Caenorhabditis elegans: one gene and its partner. The protein of the gene in region 2 purifies or fractionates together with the protein of the main gene of each other region. This does not show direct contact. Each region holds a gene or a part of one and is shown on either strand. Other genes may lie near its edges.

Region 1 (4,800 bases), on a different chromosome or scaffold from region 2:
AATAGTTTTTCTACGATGCAGATAATAAAAGAAAGTTGAAATATAATGTTTAAAAAACAACAACAACATTTCAGAAAGCGTGCCGAGCAGTTGCAGTATTTGCCTTTTTAGGATTTATCATAAACCTTGTTCTATATTTTATGGGCATCTCAAAACTCGGTCTAAACGGTAAGCACGTCACAATTTCTTGTTTATACCAACTATTTGCATACTTGTTTTGCTAAATTTATTCAAAATCCAATTTGTAATTCATTCATATAATTCTTTTCTCTATTTTTCTTTTTTGCAGGATATCTCGAAGCGTTCCTTCTTATATTCGACTGCATTTCTCTGCTGACTCTGTTTTGTGGTGTCTCAAAGCAACGTTCGGGATTGCTGAAGCCGTACTTGTTTTACAATGTATGTTTATTTTTTGCTTCGTTCTTTTTCATGAAACGTATAATTATGTTGCAGGTAATATGGAACTTTGGCATGATAATTTTGTTCCTGGTTTTTGTGTACCACATGTTGAAGGGAACTAGTGATGTATCGAGGTTTTGGGAACTAACAGACTCGGAACAAACTAAAAACAACTATATTTACAGGAACATCCTCGACAATCTTAAAGCTTTGCGATCAAATCCAGATGAGTATCACTTCCGATCAAGAGAAAGTGTTACCAGTGAGAACGATTATACTACTTGTGAATATTTATACTTCAAAATTTTTCAGCTGCAATCCTGGTCACACTGGGTGTGATGGCTGCCATGTCGTTTGTTATAGTCATAAATTGCATATTTTTGCATGTTGTCTACCGCACTTTTCAGTTTTTTGCATACCAGGAAGACAAGAAGAGAGAGGAAATGGATAAAAAGGAACGCTTATAACCTTTGCAATGTTTTATCTGAAATGTTTAACCTCGTGCTTTCTATTGAACTATCTCTTACACACAAACATTATGTTGATCTCTTATGTATTCCGAATTCATTTAATTTCCTTCTCGGGTGCTCGTCTGATTTTCATTTTTATTTTATATTGTGGATTTAAAATTTATTCACAGTTTCAACTCTACTGCAATAAAAATTATGTATACATACAATGTTCAAATTTCACTATTACAAATGCAATTCATAGTTTTCATTTTCATGCAAGATTCTTCCAATGTACAGTAAAACTATAGAGTTATTCAATTTACAAAATTAATTCATATTTATTTAGTATCAAGAAGCAATACAAATAATTATATTGTTCGAAATTTGAAAAAAAAATGTTTATGATAATTAAGATTTACTTTCCAATGAGAGCGAGGTTGGTTTTGATGACTGGGTCAATTTGTTCAAGCCAAGCGGCAACATCAAGTTCCTGAAAACAAAGTAATTCTGAACGTAACTACTAGTTTCTGCTACAAAAACTTCAAACGTTTGCCGACAAGACCCATTCACATACCTCGGCGATTTTGTCAAACATGTCGTTTAGAGCCTTGATATAACGCTCTTTAGCTTCATCTTGAGACACTCCTTCGAGCTCTTTCCATGAGTCCCTGGAAATCGGATTAACTGGGGTTGGTCAGGAAAATGCCAGTAAATACTGTGAGCCAGTTGGAATTAATTGTTATTTTTACATGGCTTCAACATCAATAGTCGCAACGTACCATTTTCAGACAAGTAGTTAAACTATTTTGAGTTATTGGAACTGACCCATCTAACTTTTTCAATTACTATTGTACATTTTATTAGAAATGTGTACTATTAAAAGTGCACTAAAAATCGGTGTTTGAAAAATTATACCAGCAGTCTGTTTAGAATTGCGATCTTAGCACTCCACACTTTTACAACTTTTTTTTTAGCGCCAGCCAATGAAATAAATAGAAAACATTACAAGATATACTACCTTTTTATGGATGTTTCAAAATCACGACTGTTATAATTAGATACGATCACTCGTTCTTTTGAAACTTTCTGATTTTAAATAATACTTGTATTTAAATTGCCTTTTTTGTATTATTGCCTTTTAGAATAAAACCTTCACTATCGCCAGCATTGAAATAATGTTCCACCAACACATATGTTTGATGGGTTCGTTCTTTTTATTCATGAACGAGTACTTGTGTAATATCAGTACACCAAAAAATCTTTTTAATTTTTTTCAAAAATACAATATGAGTTCTTTTTGAATTTTAGACTTAGGAAAAATCTAAACCTAAAAATGAATTGAGCATTAAAATGGTTATTTACGTTGTGGTCATTTTGGAATTTTATCCATTGCATACATTGTGGGATACAGTAACTACACAAGTACCCATGAACGGAATTATTTTTTGAATCCATGTTTCTACAAACGTGAAAACATTAATACAGGCTTCGTGTTATTTTTAAGGGGTATTTCAAACATAGTTTATGGTTTTGAAGAGACCAATGATCAGAAACGACACTCTACATTTCTTCAAAACTTTTTATTGATAATTTCACAATCATCCGTTCCTACTCGTTTTTTGTGGCACCATATTCGAAGAAAATGATAATTGCATCGTTTGCAGACACAACGCCGACATTTGTTGCATAGCGATAAGTTAATATATATTGCGGTCAAAAAATCAACACACATAACTCACGCAATTCTGATGCAGTTTAGCTAGCCACGCGGTCATGACTCATTTGTCAATGAAATAAGAAAAAAAGAATTCCCCTTTTTCGAATCAGACAAAGGAATAATGAAAAAAAAAACTGACCACTTCTTTCTCTCGATGATGGAGAAAATTCCTGGTCTATCGGTGTTCACATCTCCGATAGAAGCCTGTTTGAACAAAGAGTAAAAGGTAAGCTTCTGATCATTGCTGGTGGCAACTGGTCCTAGAAAAATTGTAAATTTAGCTTTGAATCAACTACATCATAGCATAGTTTGTAGCATTGTAGCGAATCAAAGTCCAACGTACCTGTTTTTGGAAGTTTCTGGATGATTTCCACAGCAGCGTCGAACTTTTCTTGAAGAGACATTTTCTGAAATAAGAAAGCGTTGAAATTTTTAGGTTAATGAATAGATTAAAAAGATTAAAAAGTTCGAAGCGGTTTTCAAATTGCAAATTGATTGACTTTTTCAAAGGCCTTGAAATAAACTACACCTATTTACTTAGTTATCAAACACGGTTTAAATCAAACAAGACATCAAAACGAGACTAGAATCCAAAAAGTACAAAACAGGGAGAACTGAACGTGAAGAAATCTGTGAGTAGTGCCGTTGGGCGCCGTCAGCCCGATCGGATTTACAAGGACAAACGGGCTGCTGCTGTTGACCTAAATCTTTTCCCTGGATATAAAGATGACCCATTCAGTATCGTGTCTTCCCGTGAACAAGACGTCATCTTTTTATCATTGGCGCTGGTCTTCGGGAAGGACAGTACAATTAATTGTCCGGAAAACTGCGGGTGAGAGATTACACTCATTTAAAGGATACCATTGGAGAATGGAATAGGATAATATCATTTTGAGAAAAAAATAGAATAAATTGAACTCAGGTATTTGACAATAGTAAAAACGTGTATTCTTATTGTTAGAATTTACTTCTAAATTGAAATTTATGTGGTTGCTGTACATCAAAAAATGTTCAAAAACCATATGAAATATTTCAAATCTTTTTAATATAAAATGTAAAAAAATTCTTTGTAGAAACTTCAATATACTTTCAAAATAAAATACACACGTACCAAAATGTATTTCACTTTTCTTGTAATATTCAGAGCATAACAAAAAGTGGGAAACAATCGAAAATAATAATAGAAAATAATCAAAGTTTACCATAAACTTCAAAAAAAAGTATAATATATTTATTTTATGAATTCACCGATTGTTGCCTTATTTTCTCTGTTGTTCGTATATTTTGCAAACTTTATGAAGACACCCAGTTTAAAAGAATTGAATGTTTTTTGAAATTTACGACTGTTTCCGATAAGTTACTCGTTTCAGACAGTTTAATTAAATCTTCAATTTTGCCAAATGCTTATTTGGATTACGTACTTATTAGTTTTTTTCTCGGATAAACAAGGAAAATACCTAGTTTGGAGTATAAATAATTTTTTAAACGTTAAATTTTTAGTAAATGTTTCGTAGATGAATTTTTGTCCCTCATAATGCTTGACGGTCGTCTTTTTTCAAGAATTACAAAAATCACATTAAAAGTTGAAAATAGGTTTTTAAAATATACAAAAAGATCATGACAAACACAATGATACAGACATCACATTAGATTTTTGACTATACAACGTGTTATCTGATAAGAACATGGAATTCAAGTTGCGTAGCTGCAGCAAACATTAGTGGCATGACGTTTTACTGGAAAGATAACCTTCCATGTTACTGCGACTAGTTTCAAATTTGGTGCTTAATGACCACGTGAGACTTTGTTGCGTGTTTTTATTTTGGTGGCTATGTTTTTCAAAAAATTTACCTGTCTGACAAATAGTAACAAACACATGGTAACTGATCAACCGTATTTATAAGATTTTAGAATTTTCAACAAAGTTAATTTTCTTTATAGAATAATTATTATAGTCACTGTTTTTACTGTGGTTGTATAATGTCGTTCTAAAATAAAAATAAAAAACTGTTCTGCTGAGTTCAGTAATAAAACTTTGTATTCATTTATACGTTTTCATGTTTTCGACGTTTTCATTTTTGTTTTCGTTTCCACGTTACGTTCCACGTTGTCACCTTTGTAGATGTAGAGATGATTTTGGTGCCTGCTCTGGCTGAAATTGAAGAGTGGTGTATTTTTGATCCATTACATTTCAAGAAAACATGTAAACTTTAAGAGACTTTAATCTATACA
Region 2 (4,955 bases):
CGGCACCCCTGGTTACAAGTACTTTTTTTATTAAAAATCCCTTTAAAATATTTTCGGTAAATTGATCATCGGCAATCTGTCAAAAATTAAATATTCTGACAAATCGGCAAATTGCTGAAAATTTACTTTTTCATAAGATTCATAAATTCTTGTTCAGATCATTTATTTGTTTTAGAGCCATGATGTTTGATGTCATTCAAAAAAAAAAAAACAGCAGGAGCAGACAGCGCTTGGTTTTTCATCAACGATTTCTCGTGTTTTCTGGGCATCAGACAAATCCCACTATTTTTCTTTTTATTCTACTAAAATAGTTTTTTTTTTCGGTAGGGTCACAGAGAAAGCGACAGCTGTGTCTAGACAAAAAGGCATTAATAAGTCGTACTTTGGTGAAGATGATAGGGGACCATGTGGAGGAAGGTGTTCTTGTCAAGGTTGGAGTGAAATGTCCTCTACGATTGACGACTAGTTACAAAATTTTTATATTTTCGAAATGACATGTTTTCACAGATACGTAGGGAGCGCTTAAAATATCTACAAAATGAAAAATTTAATAGATCTCGAACAAATAGGGAATTAATCTGAAAATTTCCAATTTTTTACAGCTCTCAAATTTAAGTTATCAGAAAGAAGTTATGGCTGTGGAGTTTTCTGATTGTAACAAAAAAAAATCGGTTGTCTTTTAAAGATAATCAAACATTTCTAAACCACGTAATTTATTTAAAATAACAATTCATGTAATGAAAAACGAAAATATTCAGGTCGATTTTTTGTGTGACATTTACCAGAAAATACTGCTCTTTTTGATGAGAAAGTTTACTAACAATAACATCGAATTGAATATTTTGGACAATCAAACATTTCTCAGTATGGCATGGCAGTTTGGATATCACTTCGTTTCAAGAAAAACTGTAATAGATGAAATATTGTTTAAAACCGTTTTAATTATGTTAAAATATTCAATTATCGAAAAAAAACAGTGGTGAAAACTCAGATGATATAAGTTTAGAAGTCGAGCGAAGCTCAAAAGTTTTCAAAACTTTGATTGAATTCTTTGAAAATTCTAAAATTGTTGTTCCATCTTCAAAAGACAAGCCATTTCAAATCATTCTTATCTGAAAAAATTGGAAGCTATGATCCTAATTGTTTGAGATAATGCAGCGTGAATGGGGATTTTTTGAAACATACTTTTTAAAAAATGTCAAAAATTCTACATATCCAAATAGAAACTGAAGTGTTTCAGGTTTTTTTTTGACATTTTCAGTCAAAGTTTTCGGCACACTGCCAAATTATTGAAAAATTTGAACTTGATCAATGCTTCAAATCATATACTACGACGTTTGATTGAATACAGATAAATAAAACACAATCGAAATTCAAAAAATCGTACCACCTAGCCGAATAGGTGAAAATTGAGTAATTGCCATTTTTGAATGTAACTTAAAAAATGTTAAATGATTTTTTTGAAGTGTTACTATGATATTTGATTATTTTAGCAGCAGCTTTCTGATAAAATTTCATTTCAAATCTGGTATTTATGAAGAATCACTTTTTTCCGTTTCGTTTTTTATTTGTGAATGTAAACGGATTCTATTAGATCAGTCTATAAATCGTAGGCGAAAAAATCACCAAACAAACAAAAAGACAACATTTTTATGAAGCCATTTTATGTCATCTTAACTATGTGATGTTAGAAAGACTAACGGTCAATAGACAAGTGGAGAACAAACATTCGGAGTAGGAGTAGATAACAATTGTTGCAATGTGTAAGAAAAGCAAAGAAAAACTATTCAGAACGGGTTTCCTGAACAATTGATCTTTAGTTTGAGAACAAGAAATTACGGAAGAATATACTAATAGATAAATTTAGAGTCGAGGGATTTAAACTATAATTATCCTATTTCATGAATCTGAAATTTCAGAAGAAAGAGTTTTTCAACTTTCAGGGTAATCTGTAACTTTCTCTCAAATGTTTTCAAATAACTGACACACTGAGGTTTCGATACAGATAAAAACTCACGGTATCATAAATTTCAAATTGTGTAGCGTTTGCCTCCTTGTCTATCGGCCCTGAAAACGCTTTCATTTAGAAGATAACTTGTTTAAAAAATTTAAATTTTAACTATGTTTTGCGTGAACTTTCTGTTTTTCTATTTAAAAAGCCTTTCCGTCCTTATACCCCCCCCCCCCCCAATTTCATAAAAATTAAGAACATTTCTCGATATCTTCACAATTTTAAATATTCTTAAAATATTCATAACAAACTATGTGCTCGGTGAAACCAAAATACATTTCACTGCCAGAGCAGGTACGTTTCTTTTTCTTGGATAAAGCGAGTAACATTTCTTTTCATTTAAAAAAAACTCAGAATTCTCTGTGCTCGCTTCCGAACTCGGGATGTTGTCAAGTAGAGGTAAAGATAGGAAGATCGAAATGGGAACAACAAAAGGCGATTCTGGTCAAAGTGGATGGTGAGCCGGCTGGAAAAATCTTCATTTACTCGTGAGTTTGAAAAAATTGGCAATTTGCATTCTAAGGGGGTACGCTACACGCCCGGCGGGGAGAAGTGTACCAGTCACACCTTCGAATATCTATGCAGGGAATGACTATATGTATTTCCATTTAATATGTAAAATATGTGCTTCCAGACAACCTCTGATTGGCCAAATGTATCCCCTTCACGAATTGAAAAGTATGGGAGTAATCTGCGAGAAAGCAGGAGATTTTTTGGTGAATTTGGTGACAGAAAGAGGATTGAAACTCACGTTCAAACCAATCGGATCTACTGCAAACTGTTTTGTGACTGCCTTGGTCAGGTACGTTCACATCCAATTGCTTCACTTTTAATGAAAAAGAAAGCAATTTTCAGCGGGAATTTCACATCATTGACTCACGAAACTCACATAAAAACACCGCTTCAAAATCAAGAAGCAACAACCTCTCCTACTATAGAATCAGATCTGACAGATAAACCAGATACAAATGTGTATACAGGATCACGAGAAGGATACGTTGCACCATCAGAAAAAGGATCAAACGAGAAGAAGAAGGAAGTAGTTCCCAATGGTGGAGATAAATCTGTTGAGAAGTGAGTGAGGCTGTTATGAGCATACGGGGAGTTCCGGGAACAGCGGGAAAATATCGGGCAAACCATTTGTCCGGTTATTTATCCGGTTGTAGTCCGCTGTCGCACGGGACGTCCCTTTTTGTCCCTAATAACATCCCTCCTTTTCCAATTTAATATACTTTCAGTAAGAAGGGATCGGACAGAAACGTGAAAAAGACACCTTCAAAAACTGTCACAAAACCTCTATTGTCTGAGTCACGGAAACGGAAAGAAGCCAAAACATTAGCTACGACGCAGTCACAAGATCTACCAGCTCCAACGAAAGATGAACCAGAGGTACTCTTTTATTGTTTTTTAGATTTATAATTTAATTGTTTAAGCGTACGAATTCCGAGCCTGACAATGGAGAACAAGAAAAGATTAAAAAGGAGAAAAAGAAGGGAACTGAAACATCCTTAAAGGATGGGAAGAACAAGTTGAATGAGAAGATCGTGAAGCCAGCTCCAACAACAACTCCAGATGCAGGTAATGGCGGATTGACACCTGGTAAAGAAGACAATAAGAAGACTGTGACGACATCTTCAGTTGAGATTGAAGTTCCTGAAAAGAAGAAGGCCGTAGAGAATGCAGGGATTATCAAGATTTCTTGATCTGAACTTTGATATTGATTTTATTCTTTTTCTCACTATCAGAATAAAATACTTCTCTCATTTTTTCGTACTTTTACTCTACTTTACGTACAGTTTAGGATAATAATCACATAAGTGATAGAACACTACTTTTTGAATAAATCGTTTTCTTTTAGTAGTTTTAAATCTGGAACTTCATGAACTTCTTTACCAAAAGTTTATAAATAATTTACTAAATACTTCATGTCTTATTGCCTACAAGCCTACTCGCCTATTTCGTGCCCGCCTACTTACTTTGTGTGGCCAACAACGGACGGCCTTTCTAGGCTCTAGATGACGTACAGTTGAGGCCCACTTTAATATATGTAGTAACATTATTGCGTTCTTGAAACAAACAAAAATAATTCAATACATGCCATTTATTTCGAGTTGCAAATAAAAAAGAGTTCTGATTCAAAAGATCCGGGATAACTCGATGTTTCACTTCTTTCCCCTCCAAACAACATTAGCCAAAATCTCCTGTAGTGCATCACCCCAATCTCTCTCGTTACCATTCTTATCGCAGATGACAACTTGTGGAATGTAGCCTTCCCACCGAAAATTCAATTTCTTGAAGAATTATTTTGCAAACTTACATGCTCAACACGTTTACGACTGATTCCACAAATTTGATTGATTGTCAGTCCGGTCAATGACAATGTACCTTTTTGAGTACAAAGGACATGAAGCTGAAAAAAATGTCAGTTAAAATTAAAACAAAAGAACGTTTGATTGAAAATCTTACCTCGTTATAAAACTTGTCTGCAGTGGTCCGTTGTGTCGGTGCAGATACGAGGACATCTTTGAGAAGGCGAATAACGAGCTGGCAGATGAGGTTCTTCACCGTTGTCTTCCGCTTTCATTGCACTCTCATTTCGACGAACTTTAAGACCCATTCCAAAATCAGACAACTTCACAAAACCATTGACTGAGATGAGGCAGTTACGAGCAGCAATATCACGATGAGTGATAGACATTGCATGAATGTAATTGAGGCCAGCTGAAGCATCATGCAAATACAGAAAACGTTCATTAGTTCCAATTCTGTCTCCAAATTTGATGAGATGTCCTTGAAGGTTACCACCATTGCAGAACTAAATGATCAGAAGAATCGGTAAACGATCGACAGCACTACCAAAGAACTGAAAATATTTAGATCAAGAACTTCTCATTCCTAAAATCCTTACCGATGTGACATTTGCGTGACGAAGCTGACTCATAAC

The links.
Region 1: the proteins of C15H7.4 (region 2) and acbp-3 fractionate together in Caenorhabditis elegans (co-fractionation; one large-scale study listed by BioGRID). This does not show direct contact.

Annotation. Positions count from the first base shown.
Region 1 is NC_003284.9:10,901,453-10,906,252, reverse strand, and holds acbp-3 (Acyl-CoA-binding protein homolog 3), read right to left. Parts: upstream 2,982-4,800; 5' UTR 2,973-2,981; coding exon 2,912-2,972; intron 2,829-2,911; coding exon 2,708-2,828; intron 1,520-2,707; coding exon 1,426-1,519; intron 1,342-1,425; coding exon 1,267-1,341; 3' UTR 1,165-1,266; downstream 1-1,164. Other genes in the region: F47B10.8 (MARVEL domain-containing protein), read left to right, coding at 75-168, 290-399, 454-533, 585-661, 712-866. UniProt on the Caenorhabditis elegans protein: Binds medium- and long-chain acyl-CoA esters with very high affinity and may function as an intracellular carrier of acyl-CoA esters.
Region 2 is NC_003281.10:9,653,168-9,658,122, reverse strand, and holds C15H7.4 (PH domain-containing protein), read left to right. Parts: upstream 1-2,220; 5' UTR 2,221-2,263; coding exon 2,264-2,305; intron 2,306-2,365; coding exon 2,366-2,499; intron 2,500-2,645; coding exon 2,646-2,813; intron 2,814-2,866; coding exon 2,867-3,085; intron 3,086-3,249; coding exon 3,250-3,400; intron 3,401-3,444; coding exon 3,445-3,714; 3' UTR 3,715-3,769; downstream 3,770-4,955.